2 linked regions of the Caenorhabditis elegans genome follow. The protein of the gene in region 2 purifies or fractionates together with the protein of the main gene of each other region. This does not show direct contact. Each region holds a gene or a part of one and is shown on either strand. Other genes may lie near its edges. The genes, in order: cbd-1 and perm-4.

Region 1 (10,736 bases), about 10 Mb from region 2:
GTCAAAAGTGAAACCATATACGAGTTTCTAGATAATAATAGATATCTATAAGTCCTCTTTTTTTATAATTTCGTTTATCATTTCGAGAGCTAAATTAAACCATCTCGTTGCATGGTTTTTTATGCATTCGTTGTGATTTCGTTGTGAGTGATTGAAAGCTGCCTTCGTGATTTACAGGCGGTGTCGGCAAGCTATTAGGCTCTTGTGTGTTAATATTTTTAAGATATATAACATCATTTTGACTGAATAAAATATTCCCCTTCAATAAATATGAACGTAAAGGTGGCCTTTGACCCAGTTCTTCCTAATTTTATAGTGATTCAACGCGTTGTCTACTCGAGTGGGCATTACGAGAGAAGCAGAGGATAAGAGAAAAAGCAAGAAAGATCTGAAAATAGGATAATAATGGGGTTAGATCATAAGTCTCCCTCTTCCATTCAATATTGTAACACAGTCACTGTTCTCCTATTCTGACACAATGAGCATCTTTCCTCTGCTCAATCTACCTGAGAAATCTCTGAATTACGTTCTTCGAAGAATGCCTTTAACCGAATTGTAAGTTTCTGAAATTTTGTGTTTATCCGTTTTCCAAAACTTCTTAAACCCTCCACCGTTTTTTGTGTGACACTTTGACCTATAAAAATGGGGACACCAGTTTGTTATGACGTCACGCATCATTAGACGTTGCTCGACAAAATACGCCTGACGACACACTAATAACCAAATATTATTGTGTCGCAGAAACGCCGTTTGTAAAATAATTATAGCTGCCAATATTAAAGTGGAACTACCGTATTTCTTCTATTAGTATTGCAGTCTCTAATAGTCTTGCACCTTTTTTTTGACTATGAGGAAACTTCAACGAATTTGTAATTTTTGGATAAACTTCTCAAAAATTGTTCTAATAGAGGATAAAGTATTAGAAAATAATGTATTGGTTTAAACGGTTGTATTGGTTTAAAAGTTTTCCATAAAATTTGGTAACTGTTCCGAAGTTATGGGGCTTTTGAAAATTAGTCTTGCACCTGTGAGAGGTCAGTTCTATACTGCCTCTCCGTTTCTTTTTATCGAGTGCACTCGATCATGGCCATCGACAACTGGTGGGGTGAGAGAGCACGAGAGAATAGATACATTTTATTCTACATATGAGAATTAACATCATTTCTATCCGGAGGCAAAAAAAAAGTTTCTTGTTTCAGAATTGGATTCGCTCTCATTTCTCAAACGGCAAAAAATCATGTTGAGAATTTGAATATAAAAATGAGAGATGTTCTGGTGGGTTTAGAAGACAATATACGATTTTATATTCGGGCCGATAGGAATAACTTTGTTGCGTCCGCGTTCTTCTCATTTGATATAAACCAAGTCCTTGAACAACCTGGTAAACGTGAATTCATTCTGAAGACTAGTGAAGGACAAACTTGGACCAATCCAGGACTTGGAGTGAGACAATTTTTGGATCATGTTCTTGAAATAGGTCATCATCCAGAGCTTTCTATTTTCTTCAATAAGATTGATTGCGACGAAGATACAATTTGTGATATGTTTGATGTTTTGGCACTTGAAACATTCGCAATGTACATCGGAAACTTTGTTAATATTTTTTATCAAAAAATGTTGAAGTATTATTTGAAAAACAAAAAAGTACAATGAACGACACTCCATAGAGACATCCAAATGGAACGACAAAACCGGAAACAATTTTGAGAGAAAAAAGTTAGAAAAAGTCAAAAGATTGGTGTGAGTCAAAAGAATGTGCCCCCTTGGGTGCAAGTTGAATAAAGAAAGTGAAGAAGATGGATTGAATGATCACAAAATGGAAAGTTTACAAGGAAAATTTTTCAGGGGATTTCTGGAAAATAACTAAAATTGGAAATTGCATTTCAAATCACACAAGCTTTTCAGTTTTCAACTTCAAATTATTTTCTTGAAATTAATATACGTCTAAAACTCTCTGAAACAAATAGCAATTTTGTCAACTTCTATTTTCAGCAATTGTTTTCTTTTCAATGATACTACAAATTTCTGTAAAATTTATAAAATGTTTACTTTCATTTTTGTAGAACACTGTTCAGAAGAATATCAAACAATCATTGATTGATACGAGAGAATCATTCAGATGAATTGCGTCCCTTTCACATTTACAGCGGCATTTTTTACGGAAACATCTATTATAACTTTTGTGGGGTTCGAATCGGTACAGGATTGCATTTTATTTTGGAACAGTTGGGGCTCGCACGATTTATTTAACAAAATTTTAAACTTCAAGGTATCGTTGAGCATGCAAATAAATCAGATTATTATGACAACATGAAAACTTGGGTGTATGGGGTAGAGAAAAATGGGAAGGGAATGATGCTGAATAATAGCTGATTAGCTCAAGAGATCAAATGCAATAAAGTTAGTACATGTAAAGATTAGATTAGTTTGCGGAATGGGGGTGTTTAGAACAACTTATCAATATCCCGATTTATCATCATTGTACGTCGAACTGCCGTATGAAGAGTTGCTGTCAGACGCTTGGCCAGAACAAGATGGTACTGCGCTTGGCCAATCGCAAACGGACAACAATGGATTGAACACGGTTCCCGATGGGCACGTCATCACAACCTTTCGTCCCCACACGCATCGATAGAAAACTTCGCAGTTATTGGCATCAGCGATGAAAGATCCATGTTCGGAGCATTCTCCATTGGTTTGACCATGGTTCTCGCATCCACTGACTTTTTGTGGGTAGTCGCATTTGCCGGTCAATTGATTGAATGCAAGGCTGGATTGACATGATGGATGTTCGAACAGTTCTCCTCCGAAGCACTGAAAAATTTCGTTTAAGTTTGAAAACATTCGTTAAAAATACCTGAAGAATTGCCGAACAATCTCTTTCGTTTCTGTAAAGGCCATCTTCCTTTCCATCACAAAAAGCGGACTGATCATTACTGGTGTAGTACTTCTTGATGGACGGATTTTTCGGAACAGTACACGCGGATACAGATTCTCTAACGATACACTCCAACTTGTCATTTGAAAAAACACGATCTTCGGAACATTGTTGAAGTTTTGAAGCACCGTACGAGCATCTGAGATATTTGCTGCTGCAGACACCAATAGAAAAGACAGCTTCCCCGTCCACATGTGCACATCGTCCTTCAAACTGCTTTGGTTGAGCAGGAGCGGGCGTTGTTGCAATCATCTGAAATTCAGTAATTTGTGAGATACTAGCTTAATAATCAACTCACATCCTTGATAGCATCACGAATAGCCTCCTTTCCACAACCGATTCTAGGAACGCATCTGTTAGAGTGAGAATCGAAGAGTTTCCCAATCCTGCACAATTTCTCAACGTTTCCGGCGTCGGTACATTCCAGGTATGTGCGAACGCAGAATCCAACGGGGGTACGTGATCCAACGGTGCATTTTTGGTCGTGCTCCACGTCATCCTCTTCTTCGTCTTCGCTGTCATTATCGGCTCGGTCATAGGATCTAGTAGACGTGGTTTCATCTCCGTATGGAATAGTGTATTCACCGCTGTCTGTTGTAGAATATTTAGTGGAGCCAGTGATGTAGGTGTCCGTTGGCCCGTCATTTGCAACTGTAGTAGCAGCCTCAGTTGTCGTAAGAACCTCTTCTAATGTCTTGTACGGCATTAACTGAACAAGACCAGCATCTGAAATAATTAGAGGATTGAAGCTTAAGAAATATTGAAATTTGATACCTGTCGTAACTTCCTGCTCATCACAAGCTCGAGCTGGAATTTCACTGAAAGTCCGGCAACCTTGTACTGATGGATCGTAACCTTCACCCAGCTGGCAGTTACCCGAACTGATAAGGCGTCCATGTGAACAGACGAAGTAAAACGATGAGCATCCCGTTCCATGAGTTCCATCTGAGAGACTTGTGCAGGTATCAACTGGGTTGACAGTAACCGACGGAATGTACGGTGCCACGGAAGGTTCATACGTTGTTGGCTCATCCTCTGATGGCGATGCTGGAGTAGTTGTGAAGTCCAAATACGGAACAGTCGACGAAGAACTTACGTCTGCTGTTTGGCCTGAAATTGTAACTTTCATAATATTTTCAAACAAAGTTAAAACTCACATTTGAACACTTCGTCTCTGAAACGGCAACTTTGGCTTCGTTCATCGAAATACAGAGACCCTTCACATTCTCTCACAGATGCAGCACTATCCGAGCACTGGATGTACTTTTGCGAGCAACCTAGATCAAAAAGCCCAGAAGCAACATAAGCGCATCGATCTCCAACCGGCGTTTGTGTGGTGGATGGGACATCATCCGATGGGATTCCGTAGTAGTTCGATGACTGATCCTGGCCTGGTGTAGTGATAACAGGTGAACTTGTAGATCCTTGGGATCCGCCTGAAAATTATCAAGTTGATATAAACCTCAGCTTAGACTAAAGCTTACACTCTGGAACTTCATCTCTGTAAGTACACTCTTGTGTGGCCTCATTGAAATACAACGATTCTCCACAACGACGCACAATTGCTGCTCCATTAGAACATTGAATGTATTTTTGCGAGCATCCAAGTGAGAAAAGGCCTGATGCGTCCAATGAACAACGATCCCCAATGGGAGCAGCTGAAGTCGATGGCACGTCATTTGAAGAGTATTGGGTGGTGTAAGATTCGTATGAATTTGGAGCCTGAGTGGTTGATGGTTGATCATTCCATGTTGATTGAGTAGTGACGCCGTCATTCTCAATGTACTCAGAAGGTGCAGATAAATCGTCTGAAGTCTGTGTTCCGATTGTGACAGCGACTATTGTTGTTGAAACACCGCACGTTTCTGAGCAAGAACGAAGAGTTTTGTCGAATGTTTCTCCAATTGGACAAGCTGCCATACGATTGATTCCGTTTCCAGAGCAGAAAATGAACTGATCGAAACAGTCGCCGAATGTAAGGAAAGTGGGAGTAGTGTATTGTTGACAGTCCTTGTTTACTTGAGCTTGTCGAGCAGATATTTGTGCAGACTGCTGTCCATATACAGATTGTTCAGTTCCGTAGTAGGCTGAACGCTTCCTTCTCGTGGCTCCGAACAAATCTTTTGCGTCGAACGTTTTCTCGTCGTCATAGCCGTCTGGATCCTCATGTGGTCCCAACTGTTTTTTTGAATGACGATTCTTCGGGAATACTTGCTCAATGTTAGATTCAACAAACTTCGCGTTTGGCCCTTCGAACTCATCATCAATCAAGAAACGTTTGTTTCCATCAACCTTCCTGGCATCTCCTTGGATCTTTCCCATTCTTGCACGGCGGTAGTCTTTGAATTGATCGCTAAGTGCAGCACGACCACGGAAAGCGGTTGAGAATGGAGAATCAATGGCCGCTGAAGTATCAAAATTATCACAAAGAAAAGACTAATCCTAACTTACGTCCATAACCATAGCGGCGATGATCTCTGTGGCTGCCTCCACGGTGTCGAGGGATGAAGAATGGATTCTCAAGATACGAGTTTCCATTTACCGGTCCGTAACTCGGCTTCCCATGATGATACTTACGCCTTCTGTCGAATTTTGGTTTCAGACGAACGTTCTCATCAAATGGACTGACGATGGTATCCGATGGAGGCCCGTAAGAGTTGTACGCAGGAGCGGCGGGAACAGTGATTGGTTGACATTGTGGCAAATCGAACACGCACATAACGAGAGAGGACTCGAAGAGAGTGTTGACTGGACATTGCTTTGAACGCACCGAGTTGTTCTGACAACGATTGAATCGTGACGAACACATCCCGAAGGAGTTGACTTGTCCCTCCTGACAAACGAACGGAGTTTGCGTCGTTGTTGTCGTTGTCACGGCATCAAATCCAGTCGTAGTTGTCTCAATAGCATCAATTGAAGGTGTTGTTGTTGTTGAGATGACATCAGCGGAAGTTGTTGAGCTGTATTCACTGTCATCTTCTTGCGGTGTTGTGATTGTAGAAGTTGAGTACGATACAGTGGTCGTTGGATCATCGGTCGTGCATTGGAAATCGCAGGACTCTGAAAAACGAAGAAATTAACATAATACTCGATCACGTGCACTTACGTTGATTGATATTGAAAACTGTTCCCGGTGGACAGTATCTCTGGAACACCATGTTGTTGCTGCATGAGTAGAATACGTCATTGCAACCGTCGGCGTAGTTTCCGTCTTCCAGACCGTTGCAATCGAAGTCAATTGAATCCGGCTGCTCGTTCGACGGTTGACGTTCGTAATCTCCAGCAATCTCACCGGAAGCTTCTCCGTATCCTTCTTCACCATCTTCGTAGACTTGTGGTGCAGTAGTTGTGTCCTGTTTCACTTCGTCGCAAGATTCACGACAATCTTGGGTTCTTTCGTTAAAGACCAAGCTATCAGGACATTTCGCCATGTAGGCTCCGCCGGCGACGCAGCTGATAAACTGGTTAGAGCAGCCAATGGAGTAGATGCCATCCTGTTTCGATGTGCAGTCGAATTCCGCATATGGGGTGTCATCTTCTTCAGTGTTTTCATCTACTCGACATTCTGGAGATTCGTCGACTGGCACACATTCGTCTTCGTAGAAGACAGAATCATCGCTGCAGGTGGCTGCTTGCCTGACTCCGTTCACACATATCGAGTACTGAAAATAAAGAATTATATTTGAAACGGAGGGCTACTGGTTTACCTCCCGACTGCATGCATTTCCTGCTATGTTTCCGTTGAAGTATGCAGGGCATTCTGTGGCTGCTGGTGAGTGCGGGTATTGAATAGAATTCGAAACTGGAAAATAAAAATATTTGATTGAAAAGAAAGAGGCAGAAACTCACAAAATGTTAGTAGAAGCAGCGAGACGGTGGCTAGCTGTGGCCCCATCGCCTGAAATTGATAACAGTTAGAGGATGAATATTTTAACTTAAAAGTTTTACGAAATAAAAACAGAAAAGGTTCAAAATGGTCGCCATTTCAGGAGAAACTAATAAAAATTAGAGCTAATGAAGAAGGAATGAAATGGAACATTCGAGGTTGAAAACTCAATCCAAAAAATTTCCCGCTCGAGCCTAAAACTGGGGTCAAATAATTTTTGATCTACTGCACTTTTACATGTCTGAAATGGGTATTGGCATACATTTGCTCAATTTTATTCTTTAAAAATTAATTTTAGATCATAAAATTAATGAAAACAAACAAAATATTATGAGAAAATTCAAGATATTTTCAAAATTAAGAAAAACTAAAGAATTGTGCGGCCCAAAAATAACAGAGTACGGTATTAGTTAGCAATCGTGGCGAGACCCAACTAACAACATACATGATCCTTTAATACCAACCGTTTCCATTTTCCAAAATATGTTTTTTTGGTTGATTTAATTTTAATTGCATCCAATTTTTTGTTAATTTTCTGAAACAAAAAAATTAACTTCTAAAAATTCATAGTCGGTTTAAATAATTATAACTTTAAATAGAAAGTTTGGACATTAGCGGCTTACTTGACTACGGTATGCAAAAGTACGCAAAGACACTTCACGTCGTTTTGCAGATCCACGGAAAATCAATTTTTTTTTTGATTTTTAAAATCATCGTTTCGTTTTCCTTCGGGAATAGCGAAATTAAGGTTTTTAATGAACTTTTTTCCTCGCTTCTTTCAATAGCTATTAGTAGAATTTGTGTATTCTCTGTTTTCTCTGTCCGCGCGACATAACTTGAAAAAACATTGTCTGATTTCTTAAACATATAACAATTAGTGTTTTATTTTCTTTTTGATATTTTTCTTAAACATTTTTAAATAAGAAGCTTCTATTTTTTCGAAAATTGGTGCGATGAGTTCACTTTTTGATATTGAAATATTTTGAATTACTCCTCCCAAATTGGGAGTCCCAATTTTTATATGCGGAACATTCTAAGGAACATTCATTCTGCCATTTTTCTTTTCCGTTCGATATCGGTGTTTCTAGCTGTCTGAATTACATCAAGACTACTCTTTTAAAAACTTTCACTTCCTCCTATTTGTTCGAGTGCAAAGGAGCGCACTTACTCCCTGTTCAGCTGCTCTCATTCATCCACGTCAACGTTACAGCTAAAGTTACAACAATTGCTCATTAAACGGAACACGATCGATGAGCTCGAAGCTCTACTCACGTTCCGGCGTATTTGTCTGGAGTCCACGTGGAATTCAGAAAAAGGTAATTAATCAATCTTCGTCTATAATTGAAATAAATCAAATTTTCAGGGCTTAATTGTTGCTGATTTCGCTCAGTTTTTTGACCCGACTGCAACATCAATCGAACCAAAGATCGATTTTTTGCCAGCAAGTGAGATATATGAAAAATCGAATTTGGCCCCGAATGTGTCGCATGCCACTAATTATCGGTGAGAATTATAATGTGAAGCGGTATAGTGTATTTCATAATTTTAGATTCAATGAATTAGCCTGGACTTCTCTGTGTTCCGATGCACATCCGAACGGAATAATTGCTGGCGGTACAGAGGACGGAACTGTGGTATTTTTTGATGCTGATAAATTTATCAAGAATCAATCACTAGAAGTTCTTCTTTCTCGAAGAGATCATCATGGGCATGTTCTCACTATTGATGTTTCCAGGGACGGCAGGTATGAAATGAAAGTTTACAAGAACAATTCAAAAAAATAATTTTTAAGATGGATGGCTTCTGGTGGAGGCTCAGGACAAATTCTTCTCTGGGATTGCGCAAATCTGAAAACACCATTCTCTCCCGGTTCGCCAAATTTCCCAGATCAAGTGAAACTTCTTCGCTGGAACTTGAAGAACGAGTCTGTGTTTGCTTCCATATCGTCCAGAAGAGTCAGTTTTTGGGATTTGAGAAGAAATGGATCGCCGGTGTTAGAATTCGCAGAGGTTGGATTTTCAATTGCCTGGTGGCTATTAAAGTTCTATTTGCAGATTCCTGGCTGTGATTGGTCTTCGCTCTCTTGGAATCCTTCGGACGCCTCACAACTTATAGTTTCCAGCCAATCTCAACACGCCTCTGTTATTCAGAAATGGGATTCGAGATTCACTTCAACACCAGTTAAAGAATACAGACATCATAATATGGGAATTACGAGTGTTGACTGGTAAGTTTTTATTTAAAAGTTTGTTGATTATATAATAAAAATTGAGCTAGACAATTTATTTTTGTACAAAAAACTATATAAAAATTACGAAAAATATTAATACAGGAACAAAGCTGATGATCGTCTTGTAATTTCATCTGGCTGTGATGGACAAGTGGTTATATGGAATCACGAAACATCTGAGGTGCTTGGAGGTGTTGGAAGTCTTCAAGGAGACTGGATCCGAAATGTTAAATGGAATGAAGAGGAGCCATCACAATTTGCTATTCAATATTTCCAACATCCTGTTCAAATATCCTCATTGACTAGTCTTGGATCTCCGCAACCAGGAGCCGATGTACTTGCCGCTAGGATCTCCGATCAATTTGTTCCTGCATGGCACCGTGCTCCCTTAATTGGCTCATCAATAGCATTAGGTGGACGGTTGGCAACATTCTGGAAGTCCTACGATGCAATGACCCAACAATGGCACCATAATGTGGAAATTGAAACGGTATTGAAATTTTATAACAAATCTCGTTTTTGACTAGCGGGCCCTATGGGGCCCGCTAGTAGAGGTTGGGTTGGGGCGAGTCCGCTAGCTGGCGCGGGTTCTCGGCTTCGCCTCGAACGTGCGATTGGCAATGTTTTGGGTCTCGCACCGCAGGCCTACGGCCTGCGTGGCTTCCTGAACCAGTATAGCAGGCCTTCGGCCTGCTATAATAGAACAAAAATATGTAAGTAATCAAATATACTGTAGGGATAGTCAAAAAGGTTGCCACAGGCAAGAATTATTCAAAACAATTGCAATTGTATGTACATGTACACGTGGACAGCCAAAGACGACATGTTTGAGGGGTTTATGGTGGGGTGACGATGTGTCGAGTAGAAGAATATCTCCACTATATGACTGATAATTCAAATATGTTGATTTTTGGGAAGAGTTGGGTACCCAGGTGAGTTGAATAATACAACTACCACTGGCGGATGAGGGGAAGGAGGGGGCCGGGCAAAGACTTTTCAAACTTCGACGCGTCGTAACTTTGTTCATAGTAGGAATTGAAAAATTAAAAGTATATACTTGAACTCAGCGTTAAAAGGAGAATATGATAGCATTTGAAATTTTAGAAATTGGTGAAGAATGAACTTTTGAGCTTCCTAAGCATGGCCTGAAGCCTACAACTTCAGGAACGGGGCTCGAGGAACTCATGACCAAAAAATTTTAGTTTGTCTCGCTTCTCATAGCAAAAATAATAAGAATTAGGACATAAAATTCATTATCCAACAGAAAACTGGTCCAGGAAAAGAGGAAAATTGAAATTTCGAGGTCAAAAATTAAATAAACTAAATTCGTTGAAAATGATCGTAGAGGACTGTGCTTTCAGCTTGCATTCGGTATTTATGTACTAATTACGAATTTAACATAAAATCCCATTCGGTAGTGGAAAATTTTTTATTTTTCCAGCAAAAACGTCATTTTTTTGAGAAAATGCAGAAATTTGCGATTTCTGAAGTTATTTTTGACTTTTTTGTAAAAAAAATTATATTTTTGAAGAGTAAATTTCCTGAAAAATACGTTTTTCGAAAAATTTACCCCAAAAAGTGCCAAACTGACCGACTTACAGCCGAAAGAATCTCAAAAATCACTAATTTGCACACCAAGGGGTTGCGCACAATTTCATTGAAAAATCGTCAATTTATGCTTT
Region 2 (9,760 bases):
AAAACAAAACATTTCAAAAAAGTTACAATTTTTGGAATTGTCTTTTGGCTTTTATTCTTATAGCAGGTTTACAGAGCATATAGGCTTAGGCTTATGGGTAGGCTTAGGCTTAGCCATAGATTTAAGCTTAGGATTAGGCTTAGGCTTAGGCTCAGATTTTGTTTGAAAATTCTTATAACTTCCTAAGTTTTCAGAATTGAATATATGAACGAAAGATCAAGCTTCTGCTTTTAAAAAAATCGACTTAAAATATAAATTGTGAAAATTAAATTTGAAGAAATATAACTAATTTCATCAATCAAAACTCTATTTTCTGAAAATCACAGAACACAGGACAGAGTTCTATATTGAAGAATTATAAATCTAATCAGAAACCACCCAAAAAAATGTTTGGAAAAATCTAATTTTCTCAATTCAGAAGCTGATCTCTCTGCCCCCAACCCATTTTTTCGGGAGAGTTAAGCTCCAGAAAATCACTGAAATAAAAACAGGTGAAATTTAAATATAAAATACAGAGAGATAGTATATGACGCGTGAAAATAAAGTTTGCTTTTTTTCTGACGAACTCTATTGAAAAGTTCAAATTTATCGTAGAATTTCGCTTTTAGTACTGAAAAATAGTGAAATCTGAAATTTTCCGGTTTTCAAAAATATTTTATACCAGTGTTGTGTAGCTCTCGGCTCTCGGCGCAAGAGAGAAAAATTAGGATTTTTGCCAAAAATGTGGTGTGCACTCGCCGAGAGCCGACTTTCTTCAATAGTAACACAGGACTGTTACACAAAAACAGCAGGGAATTCAAATTTTTTATTGAAAATTTTGAGAAATGGAGTTCGAGCACAGAAAATTTGCTAACATCGAAATATTCTAGACTTAAAATTTTTTAAAGAAATTTTTGAATAGTCATTTCGAATTCTCCATCCCTCAATTAGTTTATTCCAGAAATGCCAGAGCGCTAGCTTAAAGTCCCGTCAAATTCGGTGCATTGGAGTACGGTAGACGGTGTTTGCGTATTTCCGGAGCCACAGTAACCAACTGGTTTGAAAATCAAGCTAAAACCGTGAGAAGTTATGTTGTTGAATGCAAAAATAAACGAGGAAATAGAGTTGATAATGTTTTCTAGGAATGAAAACAGATTGAGTTCTGGAAAATTGAGAAAACAATATATATTTTTACCGCACTTTCCACTACTACAGAGTTCTCGTATAATATAGTGTACTTCCGAAAACTAAAAGCTATAATTATTTGTCATAAAAAAATAATTCCTGGGAGTACGGTAGAAGCTACAGTAATCCAAAAAAAATCTTAAAAAAATGCTAGAAAATGAAAAATTTGAATTTGTTATTGTAATTTTTCGGAGGAAAAAAAAGTTAATTTGAGAACCCCCGGAAATCACTTTTTTTCGGAAAAAACCCGCTGCAAAAAACAATCTCAAAATTTTTGAAATATTTGTTTTTTCAATTTATTCGGGAGCTGCAGAGTGAGCTCATAGCTTTCCAACAGAGCGGAAATTAATTTTACTAGTCATTTTTTGCTACGTTGCGCATTATCTTTTGATTTTTTAGTGTACGTGACGCATCAATATTTGGAAATTTAACTTTTTTGAAAAAAAAAATGAAAAATCAAAGTTATTTCAAAAAATGTTTGCAAGATTTAATGATTAGGTAGCTTTAATTTCTGCATAGATTTTTAAGCCAAAAAAGTTTTTCTTTGATTTCTAGATTTCTCTAAAAATACAAAAACGCCGACTACCATATATGCCGGGACTTTTGAGTGAAAGATTTTTTTGTCATTAGAAAGTGCGAGGACCATAGGGCTTTTATGTAGGCGTTAAAATGCCTGCTACCTGATCTCCGCCTGCCCCTCGCTCAATTTCTGCACTAAATGCTTGGTGTTTATTCCACAAAGTGCGAAAGGTGGTTCTTTGGCCGCGACCGACACTATTCGGGTCGTGGTGCAAGGCAGGCAGAGGTCGCCGCAAGGCGGGCGCGGCAGGCGTTCAGGCGCCTACAGGGAAGCCCTAGCAGGCTCAAAAACTTTTTGGAATCTGGTCACTGGTTTTCGTGAAGCTTCTATGTATACATGAGGTTTTCTAAAGTCTGGAAAACAGCAAAAAAGTGTAGAAAAGTACGTGGGAAAATGTCAATTTTTTCTGAGAAAAAGGAGTTTTAACAAAATGATCTAGACCAGAGGTGGGAAAATATTTGATAGTATGTTGCGAGACTGCGAATGATTTGAAAGTTCAACAAGTGTCTAAGTTGCTAAAATTATCAAAAACTTTTACAAAAGTTAAATTTGAAGAGCTAAATTTTAAGAATGACAAATTTGGCAACTTCCAAAGTTGCCGGAAACTTCAAAAACTGGTAGTTTATTCCAAAATAGCTATGTAGCACAAAATTTCAGGAGAAGATATTTATTGGGTTGTGCAAAATCGAATTATATTTGAAAAATGTAAACAAAAAGGTCACTTGTAAGAAAATCGAATTAATAAGCATTGGAAGCAGCAACTGGAGCCGGCGTGGCCGCTGGTGGAGCATCATTGGCGGCTCCCCAAGTTGGAGCAGCAGTTGGAGCACCTCCCCAGGTTGGTGGAGCAGCTGGAGCAGCTCCCCATGATGTTGATGGAGCAGCTGGAGCAGCTCCCCATGATGTTGATGGAGCAGTATTCTCGGATTGCCAGAGGTCAACGAGTGGCTGGGAGGCTGACATTGGTGGGGACTGAGCAGCTACTGGTTGTGGCTGGACGAAGGCGTTGGCGTTGTTGTTGTAGCCAGTTGGTGGGGATTGAGCAGCATTGTTGTTGTAGGATGGGTTCTGGAAGAAAATTGAATTGCATAATAAATTTTCCCTCAAAGTTTTGAAATATGAGCTTCAAAATAACCTAAAAAACATTGAAAAATATCAAAAACTGGCAAAGTTAGGGGTTTTCAGAAATTGAAAAAAAAATTTCTTAGGAAATTTTCTTTAAAACTCAGTGGTACATAGGCTAAATTATCGATTTTTTTTTTGCAAAATTCAATAAAATCCCGATGAAATTTTCAGTTTGAGAAGATTTTTGGAGAGAATTTCAAAATTTTTGGAAAATTCGTAGCTTTTTCAGTTTTTGAGAGTTTTTGGTGATTTTTGTGTCAAATTGAAGCTAAACTTTTATATTTTTTAGGAAAAAATAATTTTTAATTTAATATCGTCTTAGAAAGGTTCAAAAACATGAAAAATTCCTCTCAAATTCCTTATTTTTCGAATTTCAAAATTTTGAGATTTTTCGAAAATCCATAGCATTCTTAGTTTTTGAGACTTTTGGATAAGTTTTGTGGCAAATTGAATATAAATTTTAAAATTTTACAAAAATTCATGTTTGGAGTGATGTATTCAGTAAAATAGCTGAAAAAAGTAGGCCTAATGCCAAATTCTCAAACTTTGGAATTTTCTAAAATTTTTCAAAAATCCAAAACTTTTTCAGTTTTTGAGATTTTTTAGTGAATTTAGTGTTAAATTAAAGCGGAAGTTTCAATTTTTATGGAAAAAACTAGTCTGAACGCTGAAAAACCATATTTTCTTCAAAACTAGACGCTTGAACTCGTCATATGGCTTAAATTTAGGGCTTCAAACTTCGAAATTCGGAGATTTTTTGAACATTCTCAACTTTCTTAGTTTTCAAGATTTTCTAGAGATTTTTGGGCCAAATTAAAGCTGAATTGTTAAATGTTGTAGTGAAATTGTTTTAGTTATATAAAAACTAAATTGTGGTAAAAACCAAAAAGAAAGTCATTGGTCCAAAATTAAAAGTTTTGTTAATTCTGACAGAAATTTGAAAATCTATAACTTTTTCAGTGTATGAGATTTTTCAGTGATTTTTTTGCCAAATTTAAAGTAAATTTTGAAATTATTTAAAAAGGATTAATTTTAAATTTTCAAAAAATTTACTGTCTTCAAAACTAGACTTTTAGACTCGTAGGCCAAAATCTTCAAATATCGAAATTCCGCGGTTTTTTGAAAATTTATAACTTCCTCATTTTTCAACATTTTTTTTGTAATTTTTGAGCCAGATTAAAGCAAAATCACTGAATTCCCAACAAAAAAAAATAGTCCTTAAAATATTCCCCACCTGAGCAGCTGGAGAGGATCTTGGAGCACAGCACACGCACTTGACATTCTTATGATATTTCTTTGGCTCCCAGTTGGCCTCTGACAAGTAGGTAGAGTCAACCTTATGGAATCTTCCACGTCCATGTTTTCCGTCCTTCTCATCAGAATCCGAATCATTATCATCATCATCATCAGCTCCTCTCTTGGATCTCTTGAATGTCTCATCATCATCATCCTTGGTAATAGCCAAGAATCCGAAGAGTTGATCGTTGGGAAGGGAAGTGTCACGACGGGCGGTCTGTTGGCAGCAGAAGTTACAGGAATCTTCATCATGGGTAGCAACTTCGGAGCACTTTACACGAACGGCACGATTAGCTGGGACGGATGGGGCTCCACCGTAGTATGGCTGTGGGTGGCGATGATGGCGGCGGACAGAGTCGACGACGAGGAGCACGGAGGCGTCGAGGTCGCATACGAAGCCTGTAAATATTTTTCATCTTAAAATTCAAAATTTCAGCTTCAATTTAACTTAAAAACTGATAAAATATCTCAAAAACTGGAAAAGTTGTAGATTTTCGAAAATTTTAGAAAAAAACCATTTTAGTTAATTTGACAAAAAAAATTCCTGACTCAAATCAGTTTGTTCTACAGAATTTTAAAAAATTGGCTCTAATTTTACAATAAATTCAATAAAAAATCTCGAAAACTAAAAAAGTTATGAATTTTCGAAAATGTTCAAAAATCTATTATATAACTTTCTCAATTTTCGAGATATTGGGATGGTTTTTGTGGTATTTTGAGGGTAAATTTTTGAATTTTCAAGAAAAATTAGTTTTCGATAAAAATTGTCGAAAAAATTTAATAGCAATAAAATTTGACTCTTCCAAAAAAAAAAGTCCAAAATTTCAAAAATTTTTGAAAATCTATAACTTTCTCAATTTTTGAGATTTTGGGATGGTTTTTGTGTCATTTTAAGGGTAAATTTTTGAATTTTGTATAAAAAATAATGGAAGCTATCGTAACCTAGGAAAAGTGTGTTTTCTACCGAATTTCAATTTCTTTCAAAATATAAAATTTAAGCTTCAATTTGGCATTAAACTCAATGAAATTTTTTGAAAATTGTAGCTTTTTTGAAATTCTGCACCAACTAGATTAAATTTAATCTAAATAAATACTACAGTAACGCAGTTAATTTTGCCAAAAAATTTAAAAAAAATTAATCTTTAATTTGACATAAAAATCAAACAATTATCTCAAAAACTGGAAAAGTTACAGGTTTTCAAACATTTTCAAAAATTCTAATTCTGATAAATTGGCCTAAGTTCTACAGATTTTTTGAAAAAAAAAAACAGTATTTTTGCAACAAAATTTGAAGAACTAGCTTAATTTTGATTTAAAAATTATTGAAAAATCTCGAAAACTGAGAAATTTATGAATTTTTCAAAATTTTTCGAAAATTTGAAAATTGACAAAACTACCTATGAATAAGTCAATTTTTTGATGATTCCCAAAAAATGTTACATTTTTGAAATAAGTTGGCTATTGCGGTTCAAACAAGTATAATCATAACTAGGTCTACGCAAATGCGCTCTATTGCCAAATTACTATAGCTCTTAAAATTTGAATTTTCACGAACTCACGATCTTGAATAAGTGGCTGCCAGTATCCTGGTCCGAATGCTGGGTATCCATATCCTCCTCCATTTCCATAACCTCCTCCTCCATACGATGGACGACCGCCGTAGCGACCAGCAGCGGCCTCTGACTTGACCTCTTCGGTGGGTGTTGGCTGCAGAAAATGTTTCAGATTATCCTAAAATTGCGGAAATCCAAAAAAACCATATACCTTTGCACCGAGGACGGCGGCCAGCGAGGCGACTGTGAGAAGAAGAACGGTTTTCATTTCTGAAAAGCGATCGAATGATGGATTTGTCGGCGGAGCCATGCTTTTATAGTTCGGGGGGAACATGGGATGGGCTCCGCCTACAGAAAAAAAAATCAAGAGGAAAAGCTTGAGGAAGATGAAAGTAGAAATGTCTGAGTTGATGGAACGGGGAAAAAAGAGGAAACATTGAAAAGATGATCGATAGATTTGCACCATATCTCGGCTAATTTTCAAGATATCAAAAAAATTGTAACTAGACAGTTATAGAAAAAGTAATAATAAATAACTTGCCAGTTGATAATTTTTTGATAAAACCAAAGGCTACGAAGATATGAACTGTTAAAGTTGATCAGTAAATTTTTCATCGATGCACCAAAAAGAAGGGAATCTGAAGCATAAATAATGCATGTAAAACCTACTGCCAAAATTTTACAATAAAACTACTCTCAATGCACCATAATCAGCATTTTTGTTCAGCAGCTCGTATCCCTCTTATGTATTTTTATAAATATCAATTTATTACAAAACTTTGTAAAACTATGTAATGCATATTTTACGTGTTTGCAATTTGCTCATTGATATGTAAATTGTTGAAATTTTATTGGCAAATCCATAGAGAAATCCATTAGGAACACTATAAATCACTCCAAAGCTTTCAATTCACAAGGAAAGGAAGTCAATCTAGTCCCGGACTTTGAATCAGGACATATGCCTTTGAAAGCTTATGTTTAGACTAGATCACCAAAAAAATTTCAGCGGCGGAACTCAACTCTGAACCCCTGAAAGCGCCATCTGAAAGTGCTCCAGTGCATTTTTTTGCTGAATTCTAGGTCAAGTAAATGGCCTTAAAAGTGGCTAGAGCGGTTAAAAATTGTTTTTGGGGGTCTTTAGGGTCAAACAAACAGTGTGGAAGCTTTTTGGAAATTTTTATTTTTTTCCAAAAATCTGAAATTTTTGCGGTGATCTAGGCTAACCATAAGCTTTCAAATGACATACGTCTCGATTCGAAGTCCGGGACTAGATTAACTTACTTTCCTTGTCAGACAAATTTTTCACATAATACGTTAATTATCTATTTCATGCCCAAATTCCAGGTATTTGCACATTTCTCCATTCTCATTCAATTGCACTTTCACCCATCACGAGTTGCTCCATATGAAATCATCTGAAATGTCTGAAATTCCAAGCCCACTCAATCATCCCATTTCTCATATAACATGTTGCAATCAGGTGGGCGGCGGCTGCGGCCGGCAGGAAAAAGAGCCCAGCGGAATGTGTGATGGATTGAGCAGCGAAGAAAAAAGAAAATGGAAAAGCTGAAAAAAATAGTCGGTCGAAAAAAAAGTGACCTAAGGATGTGTTGCAACATGTGTCTGAGATCCAGCGGGGTTCAAAGAACTAATTTGTGTATCTTTTAGCAAAGTGTATTTTGAGAAAATCAACACATTTTGAACTAGAACACTGTAGAAAAACTGTTAAGGAACATTTTTCCAGTTGATCAAGTCCGAGTGATTCACCATGTATTGGAGCCTTTTGACTTGTTGGCTCAGTTACCACAGCTGTGAGATTTAATTCCAGGTTCCGTAGCAAACATTTTTGCGCTCCAAACCTTTTTGTTTTTTATCCAACGCCTAACGTTTTCCCCTCAAACTACAATGCCGAGTTCCCGCCTCCATATCTCTGGCGGATCTCAAGTATAAAAGCGGCGAAGCATCTTGGCTCCGATCATCATCATGTTTTCCACCACTTGGATCGTCGCGTCTCTGGCACTTTGCGCCGCTGTCACCTGCGCTGTGAGCACCGAGGCTCCTGAGAAGGTAAGCGTTACTGTTGGTTCTGTTGGAACTAGGAAAAACGGACTGTAAGGTTACTGTAGCTTGATAGATAACTTGATTTAGACACGTTAAAAAGTAAAGCTGTTATAGATATTTGACTAAATCTTGATGTATTGTCAGTAGGTATAATTAGTTGTATTCAAGTTATTAAGATTAGGTTTATTCCGTATCACGTGTGCATTAGTATGTATCACGTAAGGGTTACCTATACTATATTGTGATATCCTAAATAGTAAGTCTAAATAAGATTACTTGCTAAGGTGTAACTTGAATCGGACAGAAAATTTAGAGGTAATAAGATTTCTTGATGAAATGCTATGTTGATTAAGCGTAGATATATTTAATAGAATTCAACTTATTAGGAAGGTTAGTATACATTTAACTAGTTTCTTTTACCTAGGTTCTGCTCCTGGAGTTACTGTGGCTAGATGTAGCTAGACCTTAAATATATGTACCTTAAATAGGATGTAGGTCTAATTCAAATTAAACACGTTACGAATATGGCACATTATTTAATCCGATACAAAGGTAATACTATAAGTAGGCATGTATATTGAATAGTATTCAGGGAGGTATATTAGGACTAATTAAATACTTTTGAGATTAAGTAGTAACTGTTAAATACTGAAAGTGTAATAATTGTTTAGCTTTTAATATTTACCATCATTCATTTGAAGTACTTGTTCTAGGTAGCTTACTATTAGTATAGGAACGTAATCAATACCTACCTTTGAATCTAGACTAGTTTAGAATTTAGTACTAGAAAAAAATTATCAGTAAGTATGAGCGAATAAAATTTTATGTCCAATTTTCCAGCAATCCGACGTCAAGGACGCCCCAGCTGGAGCTCACTATGGCGGTGGCTACGACAACGGACCATCCTACAACCAACCCCAATACCCAGTCTACCAGTTCCCAAACTTTGACGTCAACTATTGCTCTGTCCACGCTTCCTTCCCACTTGTCGGTCTTAGAAGTTAGTTTTAACAACTTTCCTACGGGTCCCGTTCACCTTAAAACTTCTAGAGCACCATCGCGGTCACCACAGAGGCGACCGCGTGAAGAGACAAGCCTACGGAACCCCAGCTCAAGATTCCAACTACAACAACAACCAGCAATACGATGCTCCAGCCTACGGACCATCCTTCATCCAGAGACCACGCCCGTTCGAGCGTCAGGCTTGCAGAAACACCGCCATCTACTCGCAGGAGTCGTGCCAGAACTGCTGCTCCATCTCGTCCCGTGCCGCTGGAAGCTCATCGGTTAGTGCGGGTCAGAGCTATAGCTTTGGTTTATTTTTAGACTTAGGTTTAGGCTTAGGCTTAGGTTTAGGCTTAGGCTTAGGCTAAGGCTTAGGCTTAAGCTGAGACTTAGGCTTAGGCACAAGCTTAGGCTTAAAGTTAGGCATAGGCTTAGGCTTAGGATTAGGCTTAAACTTAGTTCCACCTGTTTTAAGGTCTAGAAACTGTTTTTAGCGTCTGAAAATCATTTTTTGTAATTTTAACGCAGTTTTTAAGCAAATTTTGAGGCCTAAGCTCTTTTGCCTCTACGAAACATATTTGAGGTTGCAAAGCAATTTTTAGTGTATCTGAGAACATTTTTCCGAGTTTAAAAGCTCGTTTTTAGTTGCCTGAAGCTCGTTTTCCCCCCAAAAATCTCTCCAATTTTGCAGAAAGTCGTCGGAATTCTGATGATCTTCGACCCGAAGCTGTCCGCCGACAAGAAGCACCACAAGAAGGACGACGACTTAAACTCGGTGAGCTCACAACTTTTGAAACCCTGCCAAATTTATTTTTTTTCAGCCAGACCGTGCTCTTCAATGCGTGTGCTGCACCTCGAGAAGAGTGTAATTCAACTAATTCCACGTGGCCAACTATTTTATCGATTTTTTTCTTTAAAAATTGTTTTCTTCAGTCAATCAATAAATATATATCGTACTTTGAACCAAAAAAAATAT

The links.
Region 1: the proteins of perm-4 (region 2) and cbd-1 purify together in Caenorhabditis elegans (affinity purification with mass spectrometry, with the first as the bait; one study listed by BioGRID). This does not show direct contact.

The regions. Positions count from the first base shown.
Region 1 is NC_003282.8:11,369,091-11,379,826, reverse strand, and holds cbd-1 (Chitin-binding domain protein cbd-1), read right to left. Parts: upstream 6,837-10,736; 5' UTR 6,834-6,836; coding exon 6,788-6,833; intron 6,741-6,787; coding exon 6,646-6,740; intron 6,601-6,645; coding exon 6,045-6,600; intron 5,999-6,044; coding exon 5,390-5,998; intron 5,344-5,389; coding exon 4,423-5,343; intron 4,375-4,422; coding exon 4,096-4,374; intron 4,049-4,095; coding exon 3,713-4,048; intron 3,665-3,712; coding exon 3,237-3,664; intron 3,191-3,236; coding exon 2,858-3,190; intron 2,815-2,857; coding exon 2,458-2,814; 3' UTR 2,200-2,457; downstream 1-2,199. Other genes in the region: fbxb-76 (F-box domain-containing protein), read left to right, coding at 479-555, 1,200-1,653; sec-31 (WD_REPEATS_REGION domain-containing protein), read left to right, coding at 8,075-8,140, 8,188-8,327, 8,374-8,568, 8,617-8,833, 8,879-9,051, 9,157-9,544. UniProt on the Caenorhabditis elegans protein: In unfertilized oocytes, maintains egg-1 and egg-2 at the plasma membrane together with chitin synthase chs-1 and kinase mbk-2. Essential for the formation of a continuous and cohesive chitin layer following fertilization.
Region 2 is NC_003282.8:1,119,100-1,128,859, forward strand, and holds perm-4 (PERMeable eggshell), read right to left. Parts: upstream 6,009-9,760; 5' UTR 5,987-6,008; coding exon 5,930-5,986; intron 5,873-5,929; coding exon 5,725-5,872; intron 4,565-5,724; coding exon 4,104-4,564; intron 2,813-4,103; coding exon 2,483-2,812; 3' UTR 2,395-2,482; downstream 1-2,394. Other genes in the region: perm-2 (uncharacterized protein), read left to right, coding at 7,702-7,785, 8,620-8,779, 8,830-9,065, 9,476-9,559, 9,606-9,653.